Astyanax mexicanus: one gene and its partners. The protein of the gene in region 3 purifies or fractionates together with the protein of the main gene of each other region. This does not show direct contact. Links are inferred from orthologs where the notes say so. Each region holds a gene or a part of one and is shown on either strand. Other genes may lie near its edges.

Region 1 (7,952 bases), on a different chromosome or scaffold from region 3:
AAATGTTAACCCATATGTCCCACCATATTCAATAGAGTTCAGGTAACATCTATATGTTATGGACTTTAATAATGGAACCAGCAGTCTTACTACATCACCTTATGCAGATTTAAGATAGATAGGTAGATATAGATAGGTAGATATAGATAGGTAGATATAGATAGGTAGATATAGATAGGTAGATATAGATAAGTAGATATAGATAGGTAGATATAGATAGATAGATAGATAGATAGATAGATAGATACTTTATTCATCCCGAAGGAAATGTAGGAAATGCTGCCATTTGATTTTGTTTGTCAGAATTTCCCAGTTTCATGTAAGAACTTCAAGTGGAATACCCCCTTAAGTAACATTTCCTACTTGGAAAATAGGGAGAGCACCACCAACCCAGATTTCACAATCCAACATGCCTGCCCCACATAATAATTTACCATTACTTATATTTGTTTGTGTCTCATTAAATCAATGGTACACACAGTACTGTCAAGTTTTTAAGTGTGGACATTGCTATCGCTAACAACTCTAACCTGGAACAATGCTAACAGTGGTAAACTAGGATGTAAAAGGTAATAGATATATTAGGTGGGAACTAAGCAACAAAAACAATAAGGTATTTTTGGTTTGTTTGTGTTTGCTAAAAACTTTGAACCAGATGAATGTAATTTAAATTGTGTGTATTGCAAATATTTGTCACATTTTATTCAGTAGTATATATTTAGTACATTTATTTATATATTTTTTTAAAACCAAAGAGATATATTCATGATAATATATAATAATATATAATATAATATAATATATGATCACACACTGGAATGTGGCAGATATAGATTAAAACATTACATAGATCATCACAATCATGGTAAAATTAGGGTTTTAATCTAGATTTAAAACCAGACAAGAAAGGTGAGGACCTATTGTCCAGTGGTATACCTACTTACTTACTGGTTACAGTAGTATAGTTAAGATAAAAAGAAACAGCATGTTTATCACCTTTTCTTGTGGTCACAGAAACAATTTAATCAACAATTTAATCTTATCAATTGATCTAAGAAGTGGAAGTGGATACTTTAACAGTTGCGTTCAAATATTAAGATTCTTTACCTGAGGCCTCACGTAGGCAGTATCTAATGCTGTTATGGTGTATACCCATCCCTAAAAATGTTTCCATACAAATAACAACCATTTACATTTACAGCACTTTAATTGTATGGGTCTTTAAAATCTAAATATGTGTTGACTGTTACATTTGAACAAGAAATGAGAGAAATCATTTAGTCATTGTAATCACTGACGAGCGAGCGTCATGGTTTAGATCATCCTGCTGTGCTTGATGTTGCAATTTGACGTATTAACACTACTTACTGATAGATAACTTTCTTTGGCGCACAAATTATGTTCATATGTCTGTGATGGGATTTTTCTTTCATAATCTTACTTTGTAATTTCAAGGTTAATGGCACTACTTTAATGTGGTTATGAATGCTACTGATGTTTTAAATACTTTTAAGCACCAAGTTTATCTACTATACAATTGAGGCCTTCCAAGAAAACAAATTATAGTTTAAAATTAGGTTAATTTCTTTTCTAGGTTTTTTTATTTTAAGTGTCTTTATGGATAAAGAAATATATCTCTAAATTAAGCACATTTTAGTTGTTAATGTAAAAAATATTCCTCCCAAAAGGGAGATATGTTTAATACATGGCTTTTTGTTGGAAGGGCTCAATTTAATTTAATTAAACTAAGAAAATAAATATTTTTTTATTACTGGGGTAAACTTACACTATGTTTTTAGTTTCTATGACCTGTGATCTGTGCCAAGTAACACTTTCTTCTCGGGTAAATAAAAAATAAAAAAATAATAAAGTTAAAGCCTAAAGCTTCAGAATGTTTATGGTGTGTTTCTATCTCATTTTCCATTTCATCCAACCATTGCCCTGCTTTTAATACTGTTATGTGATGTTTAACAAACTTAGCTAGAGATTATATTAAAAAAACAAGGCTCTTCTTTTGGAAAATGTGAACCAAAATAGGAGGTCAGTCAGCTGAATAAAAGAACATAAGTACATGGCTGTGAAATATTTTTACACTGACATACCAAAAGTCATGGGACAGCAGTATTTAAATTGAAGTCATGAAGTGTTAAATCAGAGGACTGCGTGGTAATGCCCACACCTCTATAAGATATACACACCTGGGTAAGGTGTGATATGTTATTTTGTGAATAAGGTTAAACAATATCCAGCAAACTCTCGGCAAGAGGATGTTAATTTTTAGAGTTCAAACAAGGCCTGATAGTTGGTGCCAGATAGATCGGATTTTCTTTTTTTTTTTTAAAGCTGTGCAGACATTTAACATTCTTCAATCCACAAACAGTGTCACGTGAACCTGGAATACATCATCAAAGCTATTGCCACCCATAGTGGCCAGCTCAGTGGGTATGGAATGTGACTGGTAGCGTCTGGATAGAACTGTCATTTAAGTTACTTACTACAGAAATCACATCCACATTTAATGCTGGAGCCCCATATGCATACTGTGCAGGACATTAGATCCTTCAGCTTGTGACAGCCAATGTATATGTTTCATTCTTGACCTGTGACTTTTGGCATGTCAGTATACTATGGAAACTATTTCCCCGAAAGCCTTTCTACTCCAAATTTATATTACAAAGCTGTCTCTGATGGCGGTTGTAAATATATCTGATTCCGCGCTGCACTGATTTTCAGTTTTAGTAAGTTTGTGATGATAATGCCCTATGATGTGGAAGTGGTTTTCCCCTTGTGGTGAATCTGATATGACTGATATGAATATATATGTGTATGTGTACGTTTGCTCATTTATTTTCAGTTCTATACATCATAATTTTACTTTCTAGGGTCTTTCCACAAGGTTTTCTTAGTATTCCAAGGCTTATTCTTAGCCAGCATTCTAATGTCAGGCTCTCATGGGTGGAACATAGGCTAGGTGGGTTCCAGGTGGGCTCCAGGTGGGCATGGGCTCTGAGTGGTTTTATTTATGCAGTGGGCATGGGCTCTGAGTGGTTTTATTTATGCAGTGGGACCAAGTTAGGCTTCCCAAATGGACCCCATCATTACAGCCCACCTTAATCTTACATTGGTCCCATCTAGGCCCTATGTGTAGTGTACAACTCAGAAAGGCCATGATTAACCCCTCCAGGTTCCATTACTGACCCTGATAGGGTCCATTGCTGACTTCTACATGTGGAGTCCACATGGAACCTGTTTCGTTTACCAATTATATACTGGAATTTGTTTTAAAATGATCACTGGTACACACTCAAAAAAAAGGTAATAAGGAAATAAGATACCAGGTGCAGTAAGTTTGGGGATTTCCATTTTCCACTAGCCTGCAGGTAAAATGTGAATCATCAATTTCACAACTGACTGATTCTCAACACCCTCACAAGCATGTTGAGAATTTGTGAATGCACTTTTATCTTTTCTATTGGTCTATACTAGGTATATGTGTACCATAAACTGTACACAGAAAGGCCTGCAATCAGAGCACACCTAATAGAGTATGAATAATGCTGGCACTAATACATGCATTATTCATGAAATGTCTTCCCTAATTTAATACACTAAAAACAGGACATCAAACATATTTGGAGTGGTTTGGTTGGAAACAGAAAATAGTAGAGGAACAGTTTGGTAACTAAATGTAAAACTACTGGTAAACTCCCATGTGCCTTTGATTTTCTGTCCTGCACATATTTAAAAGCAAGTTTTAAGCCAAGATCTTATCTTGTGCTATTGTTATGTTACAATAAACCTGATTTGCATAATGATGAACAAATAAGGTGTGTGCTTACATATGATGAAGATTTTTATCTAGGAATAATCCTTGTAAATGTTCGATGAACTATATATAAATTAACAAGATGTAATGTTAATGCATACTTTTGGATTAAATATGGAGGCGAAACTGGGAAAAAGTTCCTGGCAACTGCTCGAAAGTCAAATTGTGAGTATTTAAAAAAAAGGAATAAATGATCAACAGCAAGGTACATCTCAATATAAGAATTTACTCTCAGTCTGTGCCAGGTTGAATGATAATAATTTGAATGTCTCAATTAAATAATAATCAAATATGTTATAATTTTTTTCATTAAAATATGATTCAAAAGGCAGACAGACAGACAGTCTATAGTTATTTCTAATAGTGCACCTGCTATAATGATTGTAATTTCTTAATAATAGTGTAATCAAATATGATATGAAAAAAAATTGTTTTGTTTTTGTTCATTAAAATATAATCCAAAAGGAGACAGACAGACAGACAGACAGACAGACAGACAGACAGACAGACAGACAGACAGACAGACAGACAGACAGACAGATAGATAGATAGATAGATAGATAGATAGATAGAACAGGTGTCTATAGTCATTTCTAACAGTGCGCCTTCGCGGCTGTTTCTAGGTTATTGACGCATGCGCATCACTGACTGTGGCTTTTAGGAAGTGGGCGTTTCCTGGGCATTTCCAACTTAAAGCAACATCTCTGACAAACAGCGGAGAAGAACTGAAGTGTTCACCGCGCGCAGCTCTCCTCACACATCCTCACACATCTCCGCCATGTCCTCCAGACTGGACCCCTCCACATACCTGTTCGACCTGAACCCGCTGCTGATGGACAGGTTCTGTAAGATGATGGACAGCGGGCCGGACAGTCTGGGCTGGAGGGGGCTGGGTAAGACTGCGCTCTGTAATCGGTAGTAGGAAGGAGTTAGAAGTAAAGTTATTAAGTACCGCTACTTTGCGCTCTAAAGCTGCTGCTGCTGAACTGGTTTCTGTCTCCACAGCTGCCCGGATCCTGCCCAGCCTGCTGGAGGTGAGGCACACGGAGATGCACGCCGCCGCTGGCAGAAGCCCGACCCATGAGATGGTGTGGTCCTGGGCTCAGCAGAACAAAACTGTAGGGGATTTAATTCGGGTTCTGGAGGAAATGGGACATTACCGAGCTCTGAATCTCTTTCAAGGTAAGCTTTAGACTTCAGACTGCTTCACACTTCAGTGAGTTTTCTCTATTTACGTCTATTGACGTCATTATTAACCACAAACACCTCTTCACTCTTCCCCTTTGTCATTTTTAGACTTAGTATTCACGAACTCGCTTCATTAACTACTGTAAACATTTTAAACATGTATCAATTGAGTAAGAGCTTAAAAAATAAAAAAATAATGATGCTTTATTTATTTAGTGCCTTTCCTGAAACCTCGAAGCGTATCAATTGAGTAAGAGTTATAAATAACATTAAAATAATGCTTTATTTTTATAGCACCTTTCCTGAAAACCCAAAGCACTTAACAACACAGCATTAGGTACAATGCCTAAAAACAAACTGCCCAGGTCTCCCGGAAGTTGCAGGAGTCTACCACATATCCATAACATCTCCCTCATGCCCGCAAGTCAGATAAAATCTCCCAGAATCTACTACAAGCCACAAACGCACATGTAGGCTCCCCTCATGTGCATATTCATGAAGCGCATGCAAAACAGAGAGGGTTCTGATTGGTCTGTTCTCTGCAAAGAGTTTGCTAAAGAGTTCAGTAAGTAAGAGAAGGAGCATCATGGCTCCCATCAAAACTCATCACACCTCTTACTAAAAGATAAAAAAAAGTCTTGCCCTCTCTACAGTCAGTAATAGTGATTTTAGCATTGCCCACAGGGGACTAAATGATTGCAAAAGGCATGTTGAGGTGAGGTAATGTATATATAATTCATTTTTGCAACTTGAGATGTGTGCATAAAAACCAGCGTGGCATAGAAGCACAAGAATAATTCAGGGGAAAAAAAACATATACATGTAACAGATAAATGATGTGTTGTGGTCTCTGAGTGCTCCAGCGGTCTACAATGCTGCCACTATGATTGGAAGATTGCTGGTTTGAATCCAGGTCATGCAGCTTGCCATCAGTCGCCGAAGCCCTGAGAGAGCACAATTGGCCTTGCTCTCTCTGGGTAGGTAGATGGTGCTCTTTCCCTTCATCACTCCTAGGGTGGTGTCGATCAGCATAAGGCATCTGTGAGCTGATGTATCAGATCCGAGTTGCTGCGCTTTCCTCCAGAGTGCGCTGTGATGCTATTTGGCAATGCTGCTTCTGCAGCAGTTTGAAAAGAGGCGGTGGTGAAATAATTTCACATGTGTCAAAAGAAGGTGTGTGCTAGTCTTTCACCCTTCTTATTTTGTGGGATCATCTGTGATTGGGGATATACAGGTGACTAGCAGCTGAATGGGTGGGAAAATTCTCCTAGCTAAATTGGGAGAACATGGGAAAAAAATGTTTAATACATTTAATTTTAAAAAAGTGGTTTGGTTTGGAATACTCTATATTAGGAAACCTGAAAATAAGAAGAGGTAGAAAGAGGTGGTGATTATAATAACCAGTCATCCCAACACTTTCTACATTTTATTTTCTGTTAAAGTCACATCGCAGAAAGAGTTTACATTAAATGATTATGAATACAACAACTTTTAAAATGAACTGACAGTGGAAAGATGCATCCTGGTATTGTATTGTGGCTCCCTGCAGTGAATGTGGATGTGATGTCTGTCAGAGATACTTTTCTATTCACATAGACAATCCTAGCAAAGGGCCTCTGATCACGATCATTACCACTCACTGTGGGCAGTAAAAGCCTTCTGTGATGTATTCCTGATTCACAAGTGTCACTGTGGTTTGAGGAATGTCAAATGCCCTCACAACTTCACAAATGTCATATCCCACTGCACCCACTATTAGGCCTCGCTCAAAGTAATTCTGATAGCCTTGTTACTGTTGCTTTGCCATGAGCATGCTGGCCTAGTGTTCAAATTCACTCACAAGATAACACCTCACAAATGACACAAATTATTGGTGGTGTGTTATCTCAAGCTGTCCTCTGAGGCAACACCTTATAATCCATTAACATACTGTGTTTTTAACAGTGTTTTTCTAAATCAGAAAACTTGTGTATGATTCGTTTGCGGATAGAAAATGAATCATGTAAAGAAATTAGAGTCATTAAGTTTTTCTGCAGAATCAGTGAACAGCCAGTTTCACATATTAGACATCAGTGACATCATTAAAATTATACTGAAATTAAAAGAAGTACAGTATTTTTCCATTGCAGTAGTAGGTAATTAAAGTACTGGGCATTAAGTGTGTTTTAACTGTGTAAAGGGTTTAAATCCTGTGTTTCTGTAGGCAGGGTAGCCTGTATGCATGACCAGATGTGAGAGTATTTGCAGACTGTGTTTATTTGGCATGCTGTTTCAGAACAGCAGAGTTTTTCCACATGTGACTTTCCCTCCCTCATATTGTTGGTTAGATTATTTTACAGTTTGTGTTTCAGTTCCACTTTGTTTCTGTGTATGAACATCCTCTTTCTCACGTAACTACTACAACTTAGAAATGTATGATCCACATTGATGGGGCCTATTTATAGTGTTTGTTCTTAAATAATAGTATTTCATAAAGTTTGATGAGCAGATTCAGAACAGAATATGCTGAGGTAGGAGAATTGAATATAATATTTTTTAATAAATATTAATGATTCATTAAAAATATATATTAAACATTTAAACACCCTTAGTGCTCCTGCTCAAAATTAAGTGACACTAAAAGTGTTTAAAGTGTAATAAAATATACTAATTAAATATCACATAATAATTTGTGGCGAGGTGTGACTGACAGGTCAACATGTGTGTGGCCAAACTGCTAATTTGACCTGACTGTTGGTATCACCATTTTATTTATTTATTTTTTTCATTTTTAGACACTTCAATTCCCTTCTCAACCTCTCTCGAATATTCAAAGGTATGTAAAAGTATTTGTAGTTCACTCATGTTTTATACACTGATGTCTTCTCGGAACCCAGAGAAATTATCACTGAAATGTTTTATATTTTAAGCACAAATTATATTTAGTCTCCCATAAGTT
Region 2 (8,044 bases), on a different chromosome or scaffold from region 3:
AGCTTTCTAAAAGTCACTAGATGTTCTCACTGTTTACAATAGTTTTTTTTTTGCTTGTTTCTGGTTGCACTTTAACCACAAATGGAACATTTTAAGTGAAAACAAATTAAATAAGAACTAGTTTTAACCATTTCTTTATCATCTTTAGTTTGATTTTTAGTAGGGGGAAGAAAACGATTTAAATCGAAAATTGGATTTAAAAAAAAAAAATCTAAGATTTTTTTTTTTCGGCCATATCGCCCAGCTCTATACTCTAGTTTAGAGGTTTTTTTTATAAAACACACCTAAGGAAAATAGCAGGTATTAATAAAGCTATTGATTCCATACTTTTAAAAAGGTAATGATTTTCTTTAACTATATAAATGTTTTAATCGTTTTGTGTATTGTATGCTTTTAATTGCTTCCTGTTTTGTATTTGTGTTCATGTACTTAAGGCTTTAATCCTTTTATCTTGATATTGTTTATCTTTTGATGTTTATTAATTACTTAACTGTATTTATCTTTATGTAGTATACTGTTAGTGTTTTAATCCATACACTTTTTGTATATATTTCTTTTATTGCTTAGTTACTTGCTTTATTAATGGTTATTGTATTGGTGTTTTAGTCTTATTTTGGGCTTATATTCATTAAAAACATTTTAACGTTTGTCTTTTAGTGCTTTAATCAATTAATATTGTACTTACCTTTTACTATTTTACTATTAATCTTTCTGTACTTAATTATATATTATTTTTTATTTATTTTTTTATAAAAATTAAAGGCGGGTTTATTAATTGTATGTCTTTATACGGGATTTTATATTTGCATTGTATGTATTTTTGTTTCATTTAATGTTTATGCTCTTTGTCTTTTTCAGATTTTTACATTTTTAATTTGTGTATTGACCCAAGGAGTATGGGTTCCTCTCAAGGTTTCTATCTCTCTTTCTGAGAGAATTTTCTTTGCCGCTGTCTCCTTTGTGCTTACTCAAAAGAGGTTTGGACACTTTTTTTTTTTTTAACTGTTCTTAATTTTGTTTGTTTCTTAACTTTGTCAATAAATGTTTTTTTTATTGCTATCACTTTTGTCTGTTTATTTGATCACACTATCGCTAAGTTTCTTGAAATGTGTTTATGGAAAAAAATTAATTTTAATATTTTATTAAATGTGGATTTGATGCCCACATTCAACCACTTTTTAACACTTCAACTAAACACTGAAAGAATAAATCAGAAATTATTGATTTATTATTAATGTAATGAACAGAGATGTTCTGAAGTTAAAAGCTGATTATCCCATGTGTCTCATATTCCCAAATATGATAAGGTTGATAAGGTCATGTCAGCTTCAAGGACAATTTCAGTTTTGTATTTCAGTGAAAGTTGTTCCTTTAATTGAATTTATATAAATAATGTATCTGGTAATATACAAAGGCTCTCAGTGTTGTTACACCTTTTTGTTTTACTTAAAACCAAAGTGTAATTTTCAACAACTCGCCTCTATGTGATGTTTGACCACTTAGGAATTACACTGACATTACTTCTACAAGTCATGGGATAGTAGGTTTGATGCTGATCATGAAGTGTTACCTCAATGTATTGGCCAGTAATTTATTATTGAAGGTTATTCATTCAAATTTATTGTGACTGGTGGTCTGCCTACAATTGTCTGTGCAACTCTGAGAAATATCTATATACAACTTTTAAAGCGATTAAAGCTTTGGGATTTACATGTGCAAAATTAAGCCCTGCATACAGAAATATACTGATAACTTTCTGATGCTTTAAAAAATAAGAATCAAAGGAATCAAATTCCAAAAGATAAGCATTAGCATTTCAGAAGTACTGTCCGAGGTCAGCATACACACTAGAAAAACAGAGAAAAAAAAATCACAGTTCTTACAGTCTGCTTGTCTTACCAGGTTCCATGAGACACTGCAGTATCCCTTTATTCATCCAATAACATAAATTATACATTAATAAAACATCTGTTTTATTAGAAATACTTGTTCAAATTACAAATTAGCACCCACAACTCCACAGAGGTTGGAGGACCATAATTTAATATAATTATATATTTAAGTTACATGATTTTGAGCATATTACTACATTATTTTGCCTTTCAAAAAATGCCAAGTGAGCAAATCAAATCTAAAACTTTTTTTTGTTCCCCCTCTGCATGTGATACATAGAGATCAGTAACATCTTTCAGTAAAAATGGTCTGTAAAAACAATATGAAATTTGAAAAGGAAAAAAATACAAGCTACAAAAAATGTAACTTTCAAAATAAATTCATGGTGATCACTTGATTATGACTGAAATGGACACCTGCTAAAACCACATACCTATCCTTTTGGTTTGAGGTAAATCTGTCTACCACAAACCAAAATATACAATTACAGTAGAGGAATCCTGCTTTAAGATATTTGGCCTCAGATGCATCAGTAGCACTTTACAATTAATTTACATTGTTTAACCATACTTATGTTAGAATGCCTCAACTAATTATTATTATGACACTATTTAAGATATTAATTCCTACAAAATGTTAAAACTGATATCGCAATTCATCTTTATTTACAACATTCTTAAGCATTACAATTTAGAAATGTTAAATAATATTTACCACTTAATTAAAACAAAAAGTTTTAACAAAAGTTCTGACGCTTTAAATGAACACTGTCAAAATTAAATCCTTCTCAGTAGTTTATCGGTTTGGGTCCGCATTGGACAACGTCTGCATATATGTGATCCCTGGCCTCGACCATATACACGGTTTTGTTTTATCAAACCACTCCTTGCTGCCCTGCAGAGAACAACAGGTTCAATATTCAGTTTTACAGTGTTAAATATGTCAGGTCAAGAAATACTTTCTTTATTTTATATTTTTTTTATAAAAACAAGTATTTATGTTAAGTGAAATCAAGAAAGACCATATTTTATTTTTTATAAAAAAATTATTTATGTTAAGTTAATTCAAGAGAAATGGTCTTTTAATTTTATAAAAATAAATAGTTCAACTTTAAATGTCTAGAGATACATTGATGCTGTTAAAAATGCATTTTCCAATAAAGGGAGTATTGGTAAAACTGGTTATAATTTTTATGTTAAGGCGGCGGGACGTGGTGTGTGCAGCTGCTTAAAGTAACTAATAAAGTAACTTGTAAAGTAACTTAGTTACTTTTAAAATCAAGTAATCCATAAAGTAACTAAGTTACTTTTTAAAGGAGTAATCAGTAATCGGATTACTTTTTCAAAGTAACTATACCATCACTGGACAGGAGACAATACTGGCAGACAGAGATTGTAAATGGTGGATAGATGGAGAGATAGATAGATCACTTTATCCCAGATTATTAATGGCAAGAATAGTAGTAAATATATTTGCACTCAAGGGAAAACTTAATTGTTCCCTCAAAGGTTTCAAATTGGTCTTTACCGGTTCAGATGTGTTCCCTCTAAAGTACAAAGTCTTTCCTATCAGCAGGGAGTACAGATTTGTACCATTTAACCAGCCAAAAGGTAAATTCAGTATTCTGTGCCATTGAACTTATAAACAAAATATAATATTGTTATAAATTTTTAATTTAGAAATGTATGAAAATTTTGGATCTTCTTGACACATATATTTAGTTGATGATGATGATGTTTATAATCTTTACTGTACAAAAAACAAGGTACAGCCCCAGCGAGAAGCTTTGTACTCTTTTTTCTTTTCTTAGTGTGAGAAAGGAAAACAAAATATTTATATATATATATATATATATATATATATATATATATATATATATATATATATATATATATATATATATATATATGCTGCATATGTATGTGTATCTGGAAAGCGCATATTAATAGATAAAGTACCAGTATCAGTAGTACCAGTTATGTGGTACTTTATAATGAGTGGAGACTGAGGGCGGTATCAGATTGTAGAGTGTAGAAATGGTCAGTAGAGGGAAGTATAAGACAGTTAACGTCAGTGTTCAGAGGGATGCGTAGGAAAGCAACTTATGTATACATTTTGACCTTCGGCTACCCACAATTCACTGTCCACATACAAAACAAAGTAATAAAAGAAAAATAGCCCAACCAAAATTGAGCAAAAATGTAAAAAAAAAAAATTAAAGTGTTGTTTTTTGTGCTGTCAATATTAATAAGCATTTTAGTTTTACTTTATTTATTAATTTATTCATTTTAGTACAGAACATATGTGCTTACAGGACAATACAGGTATAATATGTCAGACATGGATCTTTGCATCCCCTCCAAAGTCCTTATACAAATCGTACTCATCGCCAACCGATTTATTACACTAAATTACACTTTACATTTTCTTCACATCAACTGACCCTAAAGGTGACCAATACTCACAGACACAACCCGAAAATGACCAGCAATATCTCAAAATCCTCACAAAGTGTGGAACAACATTACTAAATAATCAATACTAAAATCACATTACTGCACGTTATACCCTTCATTGAGGGTCGCGGGGGGGCTGGTGGAGCCAATCCCAGCCGGCTGGCACGATACACCCAGACAGGCCGCCAATCCATCGCAGGGCAGACCTGAGACGGTAGGGGGCAGTAGCGCTCAGTAGACTCTGATCTCCCCGGAACAGCCGAAGATCTCAGTGTTTACCTGAATCATCTGCTCGGTTCTGATCCAGAAGCTCCTCAGTCTGCAGCTGAAATGGCCACAACTATCAGCACACAGCGCGGCCAGGTGAGCTCACCTGTCCTCATTTACATACCGCAGCACAGCGCGGTGTATTAACCCAGCGGTGTAGCGGGAGGATCTTCATTAGTAACAGCGCTGATCTGTTACTCAGCTGATCCTCATGACGACATCAGCTGCTCCCTGCTAACAGGCTAACAGCTCAGATATAATACTACAGCGATATAACTACATATAACAATTTATATAACACTATATTTTACTTATATACAACTACATATACAATAGCTGCTCCCTGCTAACAGGCTAACAGCTCAGATATAATACTACAGCTATATAACTACATATAACAATTTATATAACACTATATTTTACTTATATACAACTACATATACAATAGCTGCTCCCTGCTAACAGGCTAACAGCCCAGATATATTACTACATCTATATAACTACATATAACACTACATATAACTATATATTTAACTACAAATATATATATGATGCTCCCTGCTAACAGGCTAACAGCTCATATATATTACTACACCTATATAACTACATATAACACTACATATAACTATATATTTAACTACATATATATCAGCTTCTCCCTGCTAACAGGCTAACAGCTCATATATACTACTACACCTATATAACTACATATAACACTATATATAACTATATATGTAACTACAAATATATCTGCTGCTCCCTGCTAACAGGCTAACAGCTCAGATGCACCACTACAGCTGTATAACTATGTACACAACTATATATACCACTATATATAACACTATACAACTTCATATAACTACATATACATCTACTGCTCCCTGCTAACAGGCTAACAGTTCAGATATACTACTATAGCTATATATTACATATAGCTCTATATATAACACTATAAATCTACATATACATCAGCTGTTTCTATCGTTTTTAGTAAAAATAATCGTTGACTTATCGTCAAATTAGTCGACTACCAAAATAATCATTAGTTGCAGCCCTAATATATAACACATTTATATTACTACATATAACACTATGTATAACTATATATAACACTATATTTAACTACATATAAATAAATATCACTATATATACCTGTGTATCACTATATGAAACTTAGTTACATAACAACTGCATACAACTACATAAAACTACATATATACCAGCTGCTCCCTGTAAACAGGCTAACAGCTCAGATATACTACTACAGCTATATAACTACATATAACACTACATATAAATATATATCACTATATATCCCTCTATATCACTATATGGAATTTAGCTACAGATTACTATAGGTTATATCACTAACGGTATATATCCCTGTATAGCACTGTATGTATCTACATATAACTGTATATGTATAGTGTGTGGGCTGGGTTTATGTATTGGTTAGCTGGTTGTTAACTGAGCGAGGCTGCCACTCCTAAACAAACACAGTCACGGAAATAATAAAACTATAAATCAGGATTTCTCCCCTGTGTTTCTGTGGGAGACTGAACCACACTGAACAATCGTAAATGAACCTGAGCTTGTGTTATTAGTTTACTGTCGGAGTGTTTCAGCACAGATTATTAAACAGGGTTTAATATTTTGACTCAAACAATTCTTAAAACACATTGAGTGGTTCTTGTTCAGCATATTTCAGATAGTAAAATATAAAAAAAAAAACTTCTAAACTATCCACGCAGCCCATCAAGTGAGCAGCAGCATTTACAGCGTTTGTGCATGTAAAGGATATTTTTATAAATATAATTATAATTTTTATAAAGAATCTTTATTGTCATTATTATTATTATCATGATGATTTGACACAATGGCAATAGCACAATGGCAAAAGCATGCTGTACAAATATTATATACAAAAATACAGCCAAACTCCATTAAACACCTGTGGCCAGAACTAGGCATCCAGCATCGGTACCTGACCTCACTGATTCTCTGTGTAAAGAGTGGATTCTAATATCTTTAAATATAACACAAGAAAACCGAACTGTGTAGAAAACACACACACACACACACACACACACACTTAAGGGATTTAGGAGATTCAGCAGCACACACACATCTGTCTGTCTCTCTATATCACTGTCTCTATCTGTGTAAATCTCTGTATACAATCAGGTGTATATTGGGGAATTGCCCCAGGACTTTCTGAGGATCACCCCGACCCAGCAACAGCAGCAGGTGCAGATGGACGCTCAGGCAGCCCAGCAGCTCCAATATGGCGGCTCCATTGGAACAGTGGGCCGACTCAGTATCACTGTGGTTCAGGTACTTTCAACCTTTAAACTCAGCAGGGCATGGAGGTTGACCATCATTTACAATGTAGCCAAGCCTGTATACTAAAATATGTTAACGTTTGATATATTAAGTCCTATGGTTAATCCATGGCTTACACAGAGAGTGGGGAGCCGTCAGAGATAGGGTATCAGGAATATCAGGAAAGATTTGTAAAAAATATCATTAATGTAGTTTAAATATCAGTTTGTTTATAAATGGTGTTTTTGACAGTGTTTCTTACAAAAGATAATAGAGTTTGCAGACAGAACAATTGAACGTGATTATCAATTTGTGCTAACTTTAAGATCCAATAATTAGAAGTAGCTTTATTGTTATGACTGCTATGAAAACAATATTGCTAAAGCATTAGAGCAATAACAACAAAAAGGACAATAATCTCAACCATAGTGATAAGGCTACTATTTTCTAAATGAATAATGAAGATTTTGGTACATTTTAAAAATATATTAATTATATATTTATACTTCACATCTATACATATAAACTATAGGTGGAGTTGCCCAGATTAAGGTTAGTCTTGGCTTATCCAGCATTTTGAACATTGTATTAAAACCATTCCCTGGACAGCAGAGACAGGTACTCTAACAAAATCAGGATGAACCTTTCCTAAAATTCAATGAATGAGCAGATGTCCCAATAGCGTATTCGCTGTAACACCTGTAATCACATTATATAAGATATCTATTTATCGTCGCTGTCCTATGAAAAACACTTATCTCCATTTTTGTCGATTTTTAGTTTACTACATAAATTGAACAGACAAACTGTCCCTTACACTGTGCCAAAATTTCTTGATGAACGGACCAATAGAAACTCTTTAAAATGACCTGAAATAAACTTACATCTTTTTACATTGACTTCCTTTAAAGGTTTACAAGGTTTTTTCTCTCTCCTGTAGAGTTGCTGTTTTGGAGATAAGTGTTTTTCATTGGACAGCTACGATATGTTTTTCTGTCTTATTGCATAAACAGTTATCACTTTTTTCTGCAGGCAAAGCTTGCTAAAAACTACGGCATGACGCGCATGGACCCCTACTGCAGGATTCGGCTGGGATACGCTGTTTA
Region 3 (7,543 bases):
CATACATATGCATGCAAAGTGAATTTAAGAGCAAGTTTTTTTTTTAAAGAAACTAAAGAGGAATGTGACAAATACATGTATACAATTTACTACAATAAAATTAAATATCAAAACTGCACAAAATAAATAAGACCACAAAATGATATATTTTATTTTTCTGCATATCTCTGCATTCAGAGTACATTAGTAAGAAAGTATAAGTAGAAAATCAGGTGAGCATTAATGATTTAATTTTTTTTTTTTATTATTATTTTTTTTTTTTATGGCCAAGGATTTAAATTCCTGAAAATGAGCTACAGCATGACCATCGTCCCAGAAGAAAGCCTCGTCTGAAGCTCATGCACTAGAAAAAAATATATACTGTGTTGTGAAAAAATCCATCCAGCTGCCTGCAAATGAAGTCTCCAATTATGGACTCTGGAGTGGAATCTCAAAAGCTGCCGTGCTGAAAATGCAGCTGCATCATGCATTAATATGAGGTGTTCATCACTGACCTGAGATCTGGAACCGGGTCCCTGGAGGGGCTGGTCCTTTCACAGTGCGGCACATCCAGCTCCTCGAAGGCCCTCGAAGAATCATCTGTGGGGTGAAATCAGGTAAGGTAAACGTAGTGAGGTGTTAAACCATATATAGCAGTAATCTCACACTCTGCAGTTAAAGTTAAAACGTTGCAGAGCCAGTATATGGGTCATAGATATTTGAGGGTTTTAAAATCTTAAAAACAAGAGTAAATCTTGAGTGTAAGCATTAAAAATCTTGCGAACATGAAAATTCTTATGAAACATTTTTGTTTCCTCATTTGGTGCGACCATGAGTTATCTTAAAATATCTTAATTAATTTTCTTAACATGCTCAACATTTGTTTTACACGTTTCCAGAATTATTAGGTGTCTATAAATCAAGTGTATGCATTACTTAGGGTTTTGGTAAAAACTAATCTCATATTTTCATTCTAAAATGTGCTTAATGTCTTATTTTTTTTATTTATCTTGCAATTGAAAATTTTAAAAAGTATAAACTCGAAAATACTCTCAGCAATGAAAATTATTTAAGATTCAATCATATTTAATGCTGTTATGGTATGGGTTTCACCACGTAATGAGTAGTTACTTTAAATTACTTCCTGTGATTTAAAATTTCTTTAAAGTAATTAATAATAAATACATTTCACACAAAAAAATATTGAAACTTAATTTGATAAGATTCCCCAGAACTGTCAAAAATCACACAAGTAGTTTTTACTTTGTTTATGTACATTTTTTTTATTTAAATTTTTTTTTTTACATATGTTTCTTCAGATATACTTTGTAAATCTCACAGAGACATGTTTTATTCACAATAGAACAAATATCAGACGTTAAAGCTATTTAGAACCTACTGCAGCAATACATCTAAAAAAGGTTGGACAACAAATGGCTGGAAAAGTAAGTAGTACTAATAATAAACAGCTACAATAAGAGCACTTTACAACTTACTCTCGTGACATTAGTATTACAGCATCAATTTTATAATTACTAAAGTAGTTTTGGTACAATGGTACTATAATAATGTAAGATTTAGTAATAAATAAATAATTCAGAGTCCAAAAATAGATTTTGCCAGTTTGACTAGAGTTTTTTTTGGATGTAAAGATAAAAGGAAATTAAAATGAACAGTTCCAAAACAGAGTGAGATCTGTGGCCCAAGGACTAGGCAAAGATTAACCCTCGCAATGTTTGCCTTCAGCTCCATAAAAAAAAGTAAAAACCAATAGCAACTCCCAGTTTGCTGATTTCTACCTGAGCTCCACACTGGTGGTCTGTGAGGACATTTTATCCATTTTTTGGGCCCCTCTGACCATATCTAGAGCAGCAGTGTCTTTCACGTCTGGTGATATTTTCAGTCCATCTGACCTTTAAAAAGATATTATTTAAAAGGTTTCTGGAACATTCGTCACATTTTCGTTCGTCTTTGCTTAGTCCTGAAGGAGTCACACACAAGTTGTAAAGCATGCATCATTTTTTTTTCAAGGACAGATAACAGTCTGACTAACAGTCTGTCCTCTGCTTTAGAGAGATCGGTCTTCACAGAAAAATGCACATATATGCTGCATAAAGTCACTAAAGTCCTAAAAGTAGGTTAGAAAAAAACAAATCAAACAATTGAGACACAAATATTAAACCTGCTTTTTTTTATTAAAAGAATATTATCCAATATTTTTTACTGTATCTGTCAGTGTCTGTGGTTTGGTCACGCACTTGAACGGCTACTGGAACAATGTTTTTAAGACAGATGAGGCCAATATAGAGATTTGAATTATAAATGAGGAGCATTATGGTTGAAGAAAGAAAACAATTTCCAGCACAAAAACCTTATTTTCTCTGTAAAACACGGTTATAGTTTCATGGTTTGAGCCTTTTTTGTTGCATCTGGGCCAGGCCGGATACCAGCACATACCATCATACTGTAAATTTAATCTCAAGTGAATGTGGGTCATGCAGCAAGACAGTGACCCTACACACATAAACATTCTACCACAGGATTGAAGGAATGTGCTTAAAATGTGCTAAAGTGGATGTGTAGGACTGAGCAACAGTTACTGGAAACATTTAGTTGCACTTATTGGTGCACAAAGGAGTCACAACAGAAACTAAAAGCATGTTCACATACTTTTGTTGCTCACAAATACTGTATGTAAGACTGGATATTTGATTTTGATGTGGCTCTCCTTATATACTTTTAAGATATGTGTCAAAAACTGATTAAAGTATAGCTTGTAAGTTCATCTCAGAACACATATTTAGCTTCACTGGCTGTTTTAGTTGCTACATTAAATAGATATATTTGTGTTGCAGACCTAGTCACTACTGTTCTAGAAAGACAGTACATAAATTACTGTAACAGGGTTTCTCCACCATGAACCGCTTAAACCATTTTACACCACCGAACCGCCAAATCTGATTAGATCTCCAGAATTGACTCATGGAGGTGGAATCTCCCTTCATCAAAACATGCTGAACACTCTTACTTTTTACCTACTTCTAGACAGAAACTGAACTCAACCTCTTAAATAAGTGTCATGCAATTTTGCTTATGTCATGCAGTCATGTATAGGACTGGACAATAATTAAATATCAATATTTATTCTGATCAATATTTCAATAACAGTGGTGCAATTGTACTACTGTACTCTACCCAAACAGCATCATTTTGATACACATTTCAATACAGTATGAACCAATTCAGCTGTAAAATTGGTGACATAATGTTAAAAAAAATATAAAAATCATCAAAAAAATAAAATAAAATAAAACATTTTATGAAGTTTAGCATTTAACATTTAAAATAAATACAATTTTGAAAAAAATTGTGATTTATAGCTCTGGAAATAAAATTAAGAGACCACTTCAGTTTCTGAATAAGTTTCTCTGATTTTGCTTTTTATAGGTATATGTTCCAGCAAAATGAACATTGTTGTTTTATTCTATAAACTACAGACAACATTTATCACAAATAAAAATATTGTCATTTAGAGCATTTATTTGCAGAAAATGAGAAATGGCTGAAATAACAAAAAAGATTTTAGGCCTCAAATAATGCCAAAAAACAAGCTCATATTCATAAGTGGAATAACCCTGGTTTCTAATCACAGTTTTCATGCATCTTCTGAAATGAGGAATGTTCTCCTCTGCCAGTCTTGGATAACTTTATGCCACTCCTTGTGAAAAAATTCAAGCAGTTCAGCTTGGTTTGATGGCTTGAATTTGTGTGCCAGGAGTGGCATAAAGTTATCCAAAAGCAGTGTGTAAGACTGGTGGAGGAGAACATGCCAAGGAAACTGTGATTAAAAACCAGGGTTATTCCACCAAATATTGATTTCTGAAATCTTTGCATTATTTGAGGTCTGAAATTTGAGGTCCCCTTTTTGTTATTTCAGCCATTTCTCATTTATTGCAAATCAATACTCTAAATGACAATATTTTTATTTGTAACCACAGTGTTCATTTTACTCAAACATATATATATATATATATATATATATATATATATATATATATATATATATATATATATATATATAGTTAAATCAGACAGACTGATCGGATTTATTTATTTATTAATTCATTCTTTGGTCCATATAGCCCAGCACTAATCACCAATAACTACAGTTTATGTAGATAGAAGTTCACAGCCTGGAAGTGGGCTAGCTAAGTGAGGAAAGAGGAAGTGTAAAACAGTGGGTTATACAGATATAGAGCTTGCTGAAAAAAAAAAAACACACACACACGGAGAGGAAAGTAGCTAACCTTGCCAAGCATGACACAGCATGGCTGTGGGAGAACACAGCCCTGCTAAACTGGGATTCTCAACCAGTCAGTCACCTAGAACGGACGGGAATTTATGTCAAACTCGTACTGCTGCTGGACGGGCTTGGATTACTCACTGCTCTTCTGCCCGCTGGGAGCCGTTCACTCGGTTCACTCCGAGCTCATGTGGAAATAACTCGGGCTGCTTTAGCCACGCTAGCTGCTGAAACATCTTAAAATCTTCCTACAGGGTTTAACACATCGCCCAGCTCCAGAAATGTCCGATATGAGACTTTACAGCGAATATATCTACGATTTACCAGCGGCTGTGGTGAATGAATTTACCCGGGTCATGGATTCGCTGCCTGTTTCGGACTGGCTGAGATTTGGTAAGGATAAATTAGCGTTAACAAAACGTTAAGTTAATTTTTAAGTTATTCAGGGTTATTAAGCCACGTAACTTCGCTTTATTTGAGCTGTTTTAGCTAACTGACACGCTTTAGTTAGCGTTAAGTTTTGATGTAGGTGGTGTTTTATCGAGTTGTGCTCCCCATAGATATGTGCTACTATGTTTTCATGTGTTTTTCCCTAGAGGTGGATAACCCAGGTCCAGAAAGCAAAAATCCATCCCAGGGTTTTGTACCAACTGCCTGGGCGGCTCTTCCGCAGCTTGGCTTGGTTGGCAGTTGGTACAAAACCCTGGGATGGATTTTTGCTTTCTGGACCTGGGTTACTTACTTCTAGTTTTTCCTGATAATTTAGTTAATTTAAGTTAATTAATTAATTAATTTATTTATTTAGTACAATCTGGACTCACACTCATATGGATATATATTTTACTTGAGTGTTACAACCGTGTAAAAAATAAAAATAAAAAAAGTTATAAAAAATATAATAAAAATATAACTATATATATAATAAATGTTTTTAATCACCTAACATATAGTGCTTTAACTTTATTCTAATTTGTACACTTAAACGTACACACTAGGGTAGCACGGTATTAGAACTTGACATGGTATTAGAACTTGACAGAACACAGGTTATTGAATTGTTAGCTAGTTAGCTAAGCTAGCTAACATAGCTTAAAACAGTGTTGTACAAGGCTAGCCTGGCTAGCTGGCTAACTTCCTCAACGTGAGTGAAAGTTAAGGGGTTAGTTAGCCAGTTAGCTCGCTAGGTTATTTAGCTAGCTCTATGACCAATAATAATGATAATTTAGCTAGCTAACTCAACTTACCTTAGTTGTGCTGCTATTAATATTAATTAGCTTAAGTTTCTGACTAAATTATGCCTCTAATTAAACCACTTGTCATTGCTGTTAACGTTACCCTTCAAAGCTAAACATGTCATCTGGTCAAACGACTAAAAGTAGTTTAGGTCAGTTAGCTAATTAGCCTGGTTAAGTGTTGACAGTTAGCTTAGCGTATCTAGATATGTTAAATAGTTAACCCACAGTTTATCTACAGTTTTTGTTTTATTTAAACATCTGCCTAAATAAAGGCTGTATTGGATATTTTAATACACTGTTGCTTTAAAGTTAATGAACCCTCTAGAATTTTCTAGATTTCTGCATAAATACGGCCTTGTTTTATTAGTGACAATCACTTAAAATATTTGTCAAAGCAATATTGATTACATTTTTTAAATGCTGGATATAAACGCAGGATTTGTACGGTCATGAAAAACCTGTAAAAGTAATGGAACTTGAAAATAGCAATTTTCAGTCCTGGATAAGTTTTGGAAAAATAATAATGACCACAAAGTTTTTGAAAAGTCATGGAAATTTGGTCTACAAATCTTTATATTTCCGTTTATAGATGGAGAAAATGTTTTAGTTGATTTTTGGTTTTATTGTCCATGTCTGCACTGATGTTTTAAAAATCGTATGGTCATGAAATTTGCCCGGAGGGCATTACAAAAGTCATGGAAATATAATGGAAATGTATTGATTAAAACGTGTATGAACCATGTAAACTATATTTTTGGGAATATGACACACATAATGGTGTAGTATGGTTTATATCTGGCAGACTAGATCCTTTTTTTCTGTATTATAATATCTCAGGGTAGTTTTGATGCTTTTAAACGGACTAAATCATGGTTAAATCATTATTTATTTACTTGAGAATGGAACAAAATAATGATGTAGTGTGCTTTACACCTGGAAGACTTCTTTTTACTGTATTATAATATCTCAGAGTAGTGTTGATGCTTTTTAAACTAGAATATTGTTGTGTGTAAATGTGAGTTACTTAGTGTAATGGAGAAAATAAATGCCAGGGTAGCTCCATATTCAGCTATTAATGTAAAAATGACACATTTCGAGTAGGCTGAAAATATCATCTTGCAGTTGTGAATGTTTTCAACACTTTATTGCTCACCATTGCAAATCACTGAATTCAGGTGCATAAAGCCAAATATAAATTGGGTAGATAAAAAAAAAAATTGGATTAGATGTTCTCATTTGTAAACCCTCTAGGATTTTCTAGATATTTTCTTCTTCATAAATATGACTTTGTTTTATTGGTGCTAATGTCTTGAAATAATTGTCACAACAATATTCTGTATTCTGAATTCAGGTGTATAAAACCAAGCAGCTAGGCATGCAGATATCTACAAACATTAGTGAAAAAATGGGTTGCTCTCATGACCTCAGTAAATTCCAGAATAAATGAGTAAATTAGGCAGATTTTTAAATAATGGATTGGATATAATAATATATAGTTGTACTTGTAAGTTTGTGAACCTTATAGAATGTTTTAAATTTCTGCATAAATAAGACAATCATGTCTTATTAGTACCAGTCCCTTCAAATAATGGTAAAAATCTTAACAATATTCTGTGATTAAATCATGGATGAAATCAGGATTATGTACTTAACTGTATTTTTGGGAATGGGACAAAAATAATGGTGTTTGGTTTTTACACCTGTCAGCCTAGATTCTTTTTTTATATAATATATAATATCTCAAACATATTACTGAGTTTAATGGAGACAATAAACGCTAATGTAGTAGTTCCATATTTCACACTCAACAGCGGAAACATGACATCAGCTGTATGTGTTTGTGTGTGCGTGACCACATAAGTGTGAGAGACAGAAAAAGAGAGCATAAACTTCAGCATAAATAATAGATAATCTACCTTCTGATCTCAACAGTAAGCATTGCTGTTTTATATCCCTAAAAATAAAACTGCTAATGTATTACCAGACTCTTTCAATTTTGTCACTAGATTAATTTGCCCTCAAAGTT
Region 4 (8,244 bases), on a different chromosome or scaffold from region 3:
AGTTAAAAACAAGCGAAAAAGTCTGTTTTCGTCTTTATTGTTTTAGCAGTGCCCAAACAATGTGGAGAAGGTATTAGTGCCCATGTTGAAGACAGTTTCAACACCTGCCAACTCTCATCCAGGCCACTGGCATAGAAGCATTCCTTCTGACAGAAGCCAAATTAAAGAAGACATTTGAGGCAGAGTCAAGGAGCTCATCTGATGCCAGTTGTACTGCAGACAACTCTGTTCAAATGTCCATCTGTGTTTTTTACCTGTGTGAGTCAGGTTTTTACTCATGTGTATAAGGGAGATGGTGCAGAAATGAATTATTATTGTCCATTACTTAATTCCTCTGTGATGGGGAGCTGAAATTAGCATTGATTAGCTTTTATTTTATTTTATTTTTATGTTACTCATTCTGCCGTCTTACCAGTTATTCTCATAACCCTCAGTTTAAAGTGTGCCTCTGAAAAATCTCTGTTTAAGGGGCTAACAAGCCTAACCTGGACTCCATTTTCAAAAAAACACGCTGAACATGTTAAGATGCTCTTAATGCTAAGAGTTTTTTTTTTTTTTTATTGCGCCCTGGATAACAAGAGGTGTTGAAGTTCAGCACCATGGATAGTTCCAGGAAAGTGACCTGATTGTAGTCTGGGATAATGAACACAGTCTGGGTACATGAAGACCCATAATTGTGAAAATATAAGTTTAAATGTTGTTTTTAAGATCCAGTAGCTTCAATATACAATCAAACAAAAGGAAATTATCCTCATGAATATTAAAGTTCCAGGTTGAGTCGATGCTTTGAAGCTCTGTAATGATTAGACCTTTAGACATAAAGAAATAAACATAATCAGTTTGTACTACCTTAATATGTGTAATCCATTATATTTGGATAAATATTGTCATTGGTTGATATCCTATTTCAAGATGCTGATTGATGCCCTCTTGTAGAACATTTTGATGTGATCTAAGTTAATCAATTACTGATCATACTCATAAATGGTGTAATGTTGTAGCATATGAACCCTGATATATAAACTCAGTTAAACATATTCAAAAACATATGAAATTATTTAGTAAACAAAAATGCGTTAAACAAACCATATAAACCATGAACCATAACTTTAGATTTTAGATTATTCAAAGTGCTTGCTTGCTTAAATGACAGTATTGCACACCTGGAATGTTCAGCTTTCAGTTAACCCTTGTGTGATGTTCGGGTCTGTGGGACGTTTCCATTTTTCACCAAATGATACAAAAAAAATATTTTTTCTAACTCAAACTCATTGGCATTGGCTCATTTTTTGTGAAAAACATATATCAAAACACATTTTCGATAAGCACATACTGTACACCCCCCCAACCATTTATATTACATACAGTATGTTTGGACAAGGGCTAATAAACATTGCTTCATTTGTAAATTTGAAACTAAACAAATTTTCTACTCATATCTTGAGTTTAATTCATTTTCTTTTACATTTTATTAAAAAAATAATAAAAAAAGAGTAGCACTTTTTAAAAGAAATGTAACATAAGAAAGGTAAAGGGCAAATATTAACCATGTAAGCTGTTTATTTTGCTTGCAATTTAGGTGAAGCAAGCATGTGTAAAGCATTTTAATGTAAAATTGCTTAATTTTGCTGAATTAAATACAAGTAACAAAGTAAACGAGTAACAAAAATATGAACACCACACAAGGGTTAACAGCTCTGCTGAACTTAGGAGTTAACTACTTGAATTTCTTGTCCTCTTAATGAGCTTGAGAGCATTAGTTGTAAAGTTGTGAAGAGGTAGAGTGGGTATACAGTGAATAGCTCTATTTGAGTAATATTCTAATCCATATTATGGCAAAAACAACTCAATTAATTAAAGAAAATACTTTAAGAGGTCAGTCACTTTGAAAATATCATCAAGTGCAGTTGCAAAGACCATCAAAAATGTTATGATGAAACTGGCTCTCATCAGGACTGCCCTAGGAAATGAAAACCAAGACTTACCTCTGTTGAAAAGAATTACCAGCCTCAGAAACCACACTTTAACATCACCCCAGATAAGATTCACCTAAATGGTGGTTTGTTTATAAGTTACTACATTTTTCTTTATGTGTTCCTTCATTTTCTTCATATGCCTTCAGTATTAATGTACAATGTAGGAAAAAAAATAAAAGCATTGCATGAGAATATATGCCCAGACTTTTCAGTGGTACTGTAGGTCAAGTAAATCTTAATCTTATTTAAATCCTAAATAGGTGTCTCATGGTCATGGTTATTCATCAAGACTGGGAGTTTTTAAATGACTTCGTGTTTTATCTTAGTCATGCTGTGGTAAATTACCCAACACTTGCAGTCACACTTAACCCCTTCCTGTTTCAGTTACCAGCAAATATCAGTTTAACGTGAATGTGTGAAATGAGCTTGAGTCTTGTGGCTTGTGAGTTTTGGAATCAAGAAAACTGACTGCAGTTGAATCTGCAAATGTCACTTTCGGATTTTTTTTTCTTTCAAATGAAGAACCTTGAATAGAATTTTTGATTGACTATGAAACTCAAGGAAAACTCTTTTTTTCTCATAGAGCAAACTTGCTTACATCCACTCATGTGGTTTGCTTACAATACACATGTTGGCACACATGTAGAGCAAGGCATTCTTGCCTAACGTCATCTTTTGCTGTCTGAGGTTTAAATTTCAAAACACAAATACTGGACGCATTTACCAAGAATATTTAAGGTCAGTTTCTTAGACAGTGATTAAGCCTAGTCTTAGAATTTCCATTGAAATGAAAATATAGGCTACAGCTATAGACTGAATTCCTGTCCAGGAAATGGAGCACTAAAGTTCCCAGATATTTTTTTGTTCCTCCCCAAAAACTGTAGATCCATTAGTGGTGAACTTTTAACATTCATTGTAAATTCAGCACTGAAGCAATGGCAGAATACACTGATCAGACCCTGGTCAAACAATTGTAGTTAAGGGTGTTTTCAGCCCTGCATGTAGTTGTTTTTTATGGTCTGAATCAGTTGATGAGTTTGTTTACTTGGAGAGGTTTCTCCCTCTGTTTGGTTTGATTTCACACAGGCTGAAACGCTGCCCTTTCAAACAGTGTTTTTAATAGGACGCGCAGCACAATTGTACACATAATAAACTTGCTAGTTGCTAGTCTGACAGAAGTGGCCACAGCACAGAACGTGCATGTACACGGCACGGAGCAGAGACAGTGCTTGTTCATAGCTGTAGTAAGCCTTATCAGCAGTTTAGCTCAAATGAAAGGAGTCTTGATTTGATAGTTGGGTCGGATCGAGACGGGATCAAGTTCTCACCATAAGTGAACCGCTTCAGAGTTAATTTGGGAATGAACTGAGACAATTTCCTCTAGCAGGTCTCGGAGTGTGATTACTTTTTTCACACCTGCACAATCGAACCGCACTAAAGTTAAAAAACGGACCAGAGTTGGTTTTAACTGGACCAAAGTCTAGTGCTGGTGTGAAAACGCCCTAAGTTATCATATTTACATTTGTTTAAAAATCTTAGTTTATTTGATACAAACAGTGATTGTTCATTATGTTGTTTCTCAAGACTCAAATACGCTCCTATGGCAGCCATAGCTTAACTAGGTAGCAGTGACTAACCTGAAAAGCGGATCATTTGTATGGCCAGTGGTGGCCTCAGGCTGCATGGTTGTCCCTCAAACATCCTAAGGACACCACTAGGGCTCTTGGATATGTTTTCTTGCCTGTAGCAGAACCCAGCACTACGTTCCATTGTATCTACTTCATCTAAGGGCACCCTTCGGGACATTCTCTAGTAGAGGTGGCACTTCTATAGCAGCACACTTTTATTTTGGGAAGGCAGAAGTCCAACAATAGATACATTCTCAGAATGCCTTGATCTATAGGACACAAGATCTGAATTCATCACAAGAATGTGCAGCCTAAAAGGTACTTAATACTTTTTTCCCGTGAGAAGAGAAGCCAACATGGCTCTTTGTCTTTTTTACACTCTAGAGGGAAATTTAGCAACACTTTTCTGCTGGTGTGTATTGCGCACACTGTTTTTAGTTTCCATTTGTATCATTTCTGTTGCTCATCTCTGATGCTATGTGTGATGTAGTCAGCTGGGCTCATTGTATTGCACAATAGTAAGTACACAGCACAGTCCTCAGTCATTGTGTTCTTGTGAGTTTGTTCTTGCAAAGTAACTTGGTATTACGAACCACATTATTGTCTTTAAAAGCCCCCAACTCTGGAATAACCTACCTGAAGATATTTGAGAATAAGGAAAATTCTTAATGTTGGGGACTAGGCTAAAAATCTAATAGTTAAGTTTAGCTTTTGGTAATTAGCTAATTATTTTTCTTAGATAAAGGCTAAGGCTGCAGATACAGGGGTTCATGGACATAAGGAATTGTGGTGAACTAAAATGCTGGTGCTGTCTTGCCTCTTGCTGCACATGATCATTCAGGTTAGTTGACAGTGGAGTGAGTGGATGCTTATGTTTTTGGGTACCATCATGTCAATGTGCTGAGGATTATGGTGGGGGAGAAGATGTAAATTCTCACAGACTGTAAATTCTCACAAAACAATAGCTCTGTTTGCTCCAATTTTTCCTTTTTTTTCATATCGAGGTATAGTGTGTTATTTTATTTTTTAGATCTTTTAGCTGCTTCGTGTTGTCAGAGAGGTTCTTTTTAGGAGGTTTCTTGATTTTACAGGTCTGGCAGTAATCAGACCTGGTTGTGGCTAGTGAAATTAATCTCAGTTTAACAAAAATGCAGTTAATCACAGTTTTTACATAAATTAAATCATCATTTTAAAAGCTGCTTTTTTATTTACTATTGTTGTCTTGTTATAGTTTGTTTGATAATCTGAATTCTGAAAATGCAAAAAGAAATCTGCAAGGAGGCAAATACACCACTGTATATTTATTTGATTTAATTTGATATGAATTGATATTAAGGAACACCCTTGATTTAGAATTAAACTCGCACTGACTGCTGGCCAATCCTGTGGGAGGGGGGCGTGGCTCTCCCGAGCACGGGTGGGGATAGTGTATAATCAGTGTATCTCCAGCAGCATCAGCAGGCGTGGGCAGCAGCAGGTAGGCGTTGCCGTCCTCGCGCTCTCCCTTTCTCTGAAGGCGGGAGGGGGGGAGGGGGGGAGGCTTTACGCAAGAGTCGTGGTCTCTCCTCCGCGAGCGAAAAGAGAACGACGTGGGCGAGGGCGAAAACCTTCCCTGGACTGTTTTTTTTTTCTTCTTCTTCTTTCGTCTTCTTCCTCTCTTTTCTTTTTTTTTAACGAGGGGAAACGCGAGGTAGCGATGGGCGTGACGACTCTCCGGAGCGAGGTGATGCTCCGTACTGCCGGACTAACGTCCGTTCACGCCGCAGCTCCGTGAGCGATGCCTCTGCCGTGGCGATGCGAAGCACACGACGACGCGCTGTCCAGATCTCCGTAGCGGGCGATGATTCAGCAGCACGACTCCAGATTTTAACAGCACACGGGGACTGACGAGGCAAAACGCGGGCTCGACGCGAGGCGGAGAACAACACAACATCAGCAGCGGGTGAGTAAATAGATAGATAAATAGATAACTAACGGACGGTTAACGGTGTTGGGTTTGGTGCTGGGTTTGGATTTGGTTGGTTGCTGGTCTGTGTGTCCGAGGGCTTTCACGGTTAGTCGGCGTTTTCTGGCGATTTGTAGCGAAATAAATCGTATTTACTGGGCAGAGAATGGACGGAATCCCCTGCGCACGTCCCATAATTTCATCAGGCTTTTAGCTACTCGATTTGATCTTTTCCGTTCCACCTTAAATGGCGCAGCAGTAACAGTAGCTAGTAGTAACAGGGGTGTGACAAAATATCGATATGGCGATATATCATATTATATTATTTGGCGATAGGGATATTTGATACTTTTTTGCATTAGTGTATTTTTGTTTTAATTTTTGTTATCTATATTTTTCTGTAAGCTGTACACAGTTTGAAAAGATTTTAGAGTAGAGACATTTTAACAGGCGCAGAACCGTTCTAATTTTATTTTACAACAGAAAGCTGAGCTATTTAGGTTACTGTGTAACCTGACACACACAAAAACACAATTCCTGTTATTTGCTTATTTGAAAGTATTGAATCCTCTTTAATTAGCTAGACAAATGCTATAAAGTATTAAAGAGAGTTGTTTTGTAGAATATCAAGTATTGTTATATCATCATTATCGTGGGCAAAGTATTGTGATATTATCATATCGTGTGAGATGATGAATTAAGCAATAGTACACAAGAGGAAGTGCTATAATGTAATTTTGGCACTGCTGTGCTGCGGCCGTAGATCAGCACAACAGTACCAATATTAACTTACACATTAAGTTACACAGTGCTTATATTACCGGCTGATAACGGCACTCATAGAATGCCTCTCAGCCAATCACATAGCAGAGTTGGAAATGACTGTGGTATAATTCCCTATGATTTCCTCCCTTTTACACAGTAAAGGTAGTTTAAAAGCTGCACAATTTAAGGTGGAACTGAACATTCTATTTCTAAAGAAGCTTAACTTTAATCTAAAACCGCTTGATTTTCACATTTATAGCTAAGCAAACAAGCTTTATCTAGTCTTATAAGCTGCAACATTTAAAAATAGTTCACTGTTTAATTGGTTTGTGCCAAGTTTGCTGTTTTAGTGTAGTTTAGGTTTACAGTTAGCTAATGCAGCATTAGCTAGCTAGGTTAGCTAGCTAAAGAACAGCTGGAATCATCTTTTCAGTAGTTTATCTTTTTACAGGAATTTTTACACGTTCCACCTTAAATGGCACAGCAGTAACTGTAGTAATGGTAACTGGTAAACGGTAACTGCTGCTCTATTTAAGGTGGAAAGGACAATTAGAATAAGAATAAAAGGCTTGACTGTTTATTTTTTAACCAGGCAAATATGATAAATAAGACACACTTTAAGGTAAAATACACTCGTTTTGATAGTGTTTTTTGCTAGCCTTGCTGTTTTAGCTTGCTAATCTAAGTTAGCTATTTAATGTCAATGCTATAACAGCTAGTTAGCTAAGCTAGTTAGATAGATAGATAACTAACAGTCTGGTTGGCAAATCATGATAATTATGGATAGTTAGTTAAATAGGCAGAGTGTCAGCTTAGCCAGCTAACAGATGACTCTAAAAAAGGGCAAAAAGGCAGTTAAGAAATTGTGAAATGTCCTGTGTTGTTTTTTTCCCACGTTCAACAGTGTCCTTCCTCTCTCAGTTTTGCTGTGCTGTGTGTGTGTGAAAATGTCTGTGTTTGTCTGTGTCTGTGTGTGTGTGTGTGTGTGTGTGTGTGTGTAGTCCTGTAGACGCAATGCCGTGCAATCCGTCGTCTCAAAGCACACATGCTTCTGGCGATGCAAGCTGGAGAGCCCAACCGTAATACCATTACATAATGACCATCACAGCCCTCATAGTTCATATTTAGTCCTCTATTTCACTTGTAAATCCACGGATGATGAAATATCCCTGAGGTACAACCCTGTTTGTGAGCACTGTGCTACAAAAAACGTGGCAACAGCTGCAAAATGGCCAGCATGAGAGGTTGCATGTTGCTGGAGGCCTGGAAAGCGCTTCCCTGCACAATCCTGGTATTATGTAATGTTCTTAGATTATCCTATATCTAAACATCATTTGAAGCATATTACAGATGATTAAATGTGATCCTGTCTTGTGTCACAGGGCTCACAGTGATGTTTATGGATGCTGAGCTCTTGTTATATCTGACTTTCAGAGGGACACATCTCAAAGGAGAAATCTGATCCTAACACAAGGGATAGCTCATTACAGTGCTGGACAATAATTCAAACACATGAACAACATCTATTATGTAGTGCTGGGCAGTATGACCAGAAATATATATCAGAGTATATTTAAAAATTCTGAGGGTTTCACAGGATATCACAGTATTTGTATTAATAAATATTATTGTTATTTACTTCTTTTTTTTTGTTTTTGCATGACTCGAATTTTATTGATATTTGTGGCTTATTTTACTGTCAGGAGACTGTATAATATAAAACAATAAAGTTTTAATTTACTATAGAGTAGGAGTGGGCAATATGGCCCTAAAATAATATCACAATTTTTGTGGTATTTTTTCACGATACTCTTGGCAATATAACAAACACTGAATTAAAAAAAAAACCAAGAATACTCTACTGCAACAAAATGAAATTTTAATTTTATTATTGCATACGATATGACATGGTACACCCCTAACTGATTAT

Evidence for each region.
Region 1: the proteins of irak1 (region 3) and irak3 purify together in Homo sapiens (co-immunoprecipitation; 3 studies listed by BioGRID and IntAct, with this or other methods). This does not show direct contact. The link is inferred for Astyanax mexicanus from reciprocal best matches to the Homo sapiens genes IRAK1 and IRAK3.
Region 2: the proteins of irak1 (region 3) and toll-interacting protein purify together in Homo sapiens (affinity purification with western blotting; 11 studies listed by BioGRID and IntAct, with this or other methods). This does not show direct contact. The link is inferred for Astyanax mexicanus from reciprocal best matches to the Homo sapiens genes IRAK1 and TOLLIP.
Region 4: the proteins of irak1 (region 3) and peli3 purify together in Homo sapiens (affinity purification with western blotting; 7 studies listed by BioGRID and IntAct, with this or other methods). This does not show direct contact. The link is inferred for Astyanax mexicanus from reciprocal best matches to the Homo sapiens genes IRAK1 and PELI3.

The regions. Positions count from the first base shown.
Region 1 is NC_064409.1:10,746,642-10,754,593, reverse strand, and holds the start of irak3 (interleukin-1 receptor-associated kinase 3), read left to right. Parts: upstream 1-4,499; 5' UTR 4,500-4,604; coding exon 4,605-4,719; intron 4,720-4,831; coding exon 4,832-5,008; intron 5,009-7,788; coding exon 7,789-7,829; intron 7,830-7,952. UniProt on the Homo sapiens protein: Putative inactive protein kinase which regulates signaling downstream of immune receptors including IL1R and Toll-like receptors.
Region 2 is NC_064423.1:8,568,838-8,576,881, forward strand, and holds the start of toll-interacting protein, read left to right. Parts: upstream 1-4,581; 5' UTR 4,582-4,679; coding exon 4,680-4,712; intron 4,713-6,800; coding exon 6,801-6,950; intron 6,951-7,970; coding exon 7,971-8,044. UniProt on the Homo sapiens protein: Component of the signaling pathway of IL-1 and Toll-like receptors. Inhibits cell activation by microbial products. Recruits IRAK1 to the IL-1 receptor complex. Inhibits IRAK1 phosphorylation and kinase activity.
Region 3 is NC_064419.1:4,121,553-4,129,095, reverse strand, and holds the start of irak1 (interleukin-1 receptor-associated kinase 1), read left to right. Parts: upstream 1-4,230; 5' UTR 4,231-4,563; coding exon 4,564-4,675; intron 4,676-7,543.
Region 4 is NC_064415.1:31,438,411-31,446,654, reverse strand, and holds the start of peli3 (E3 ubiquitin-protein ligase pellino homolog 1), read left to right. Parts: upstream 1-5,130; 5' UTR 5,131-5,546; intron 5,547-8,244. UniProt on the Homo sapiens protein: E3 ubiquitin ligase catalyzing the covalent attachment of ubiquitin moieties onto substrate proteins. Involved in the TLR and IL-1 signaling pathways via interaction with the complex containing IRAK kinases and TRAF6.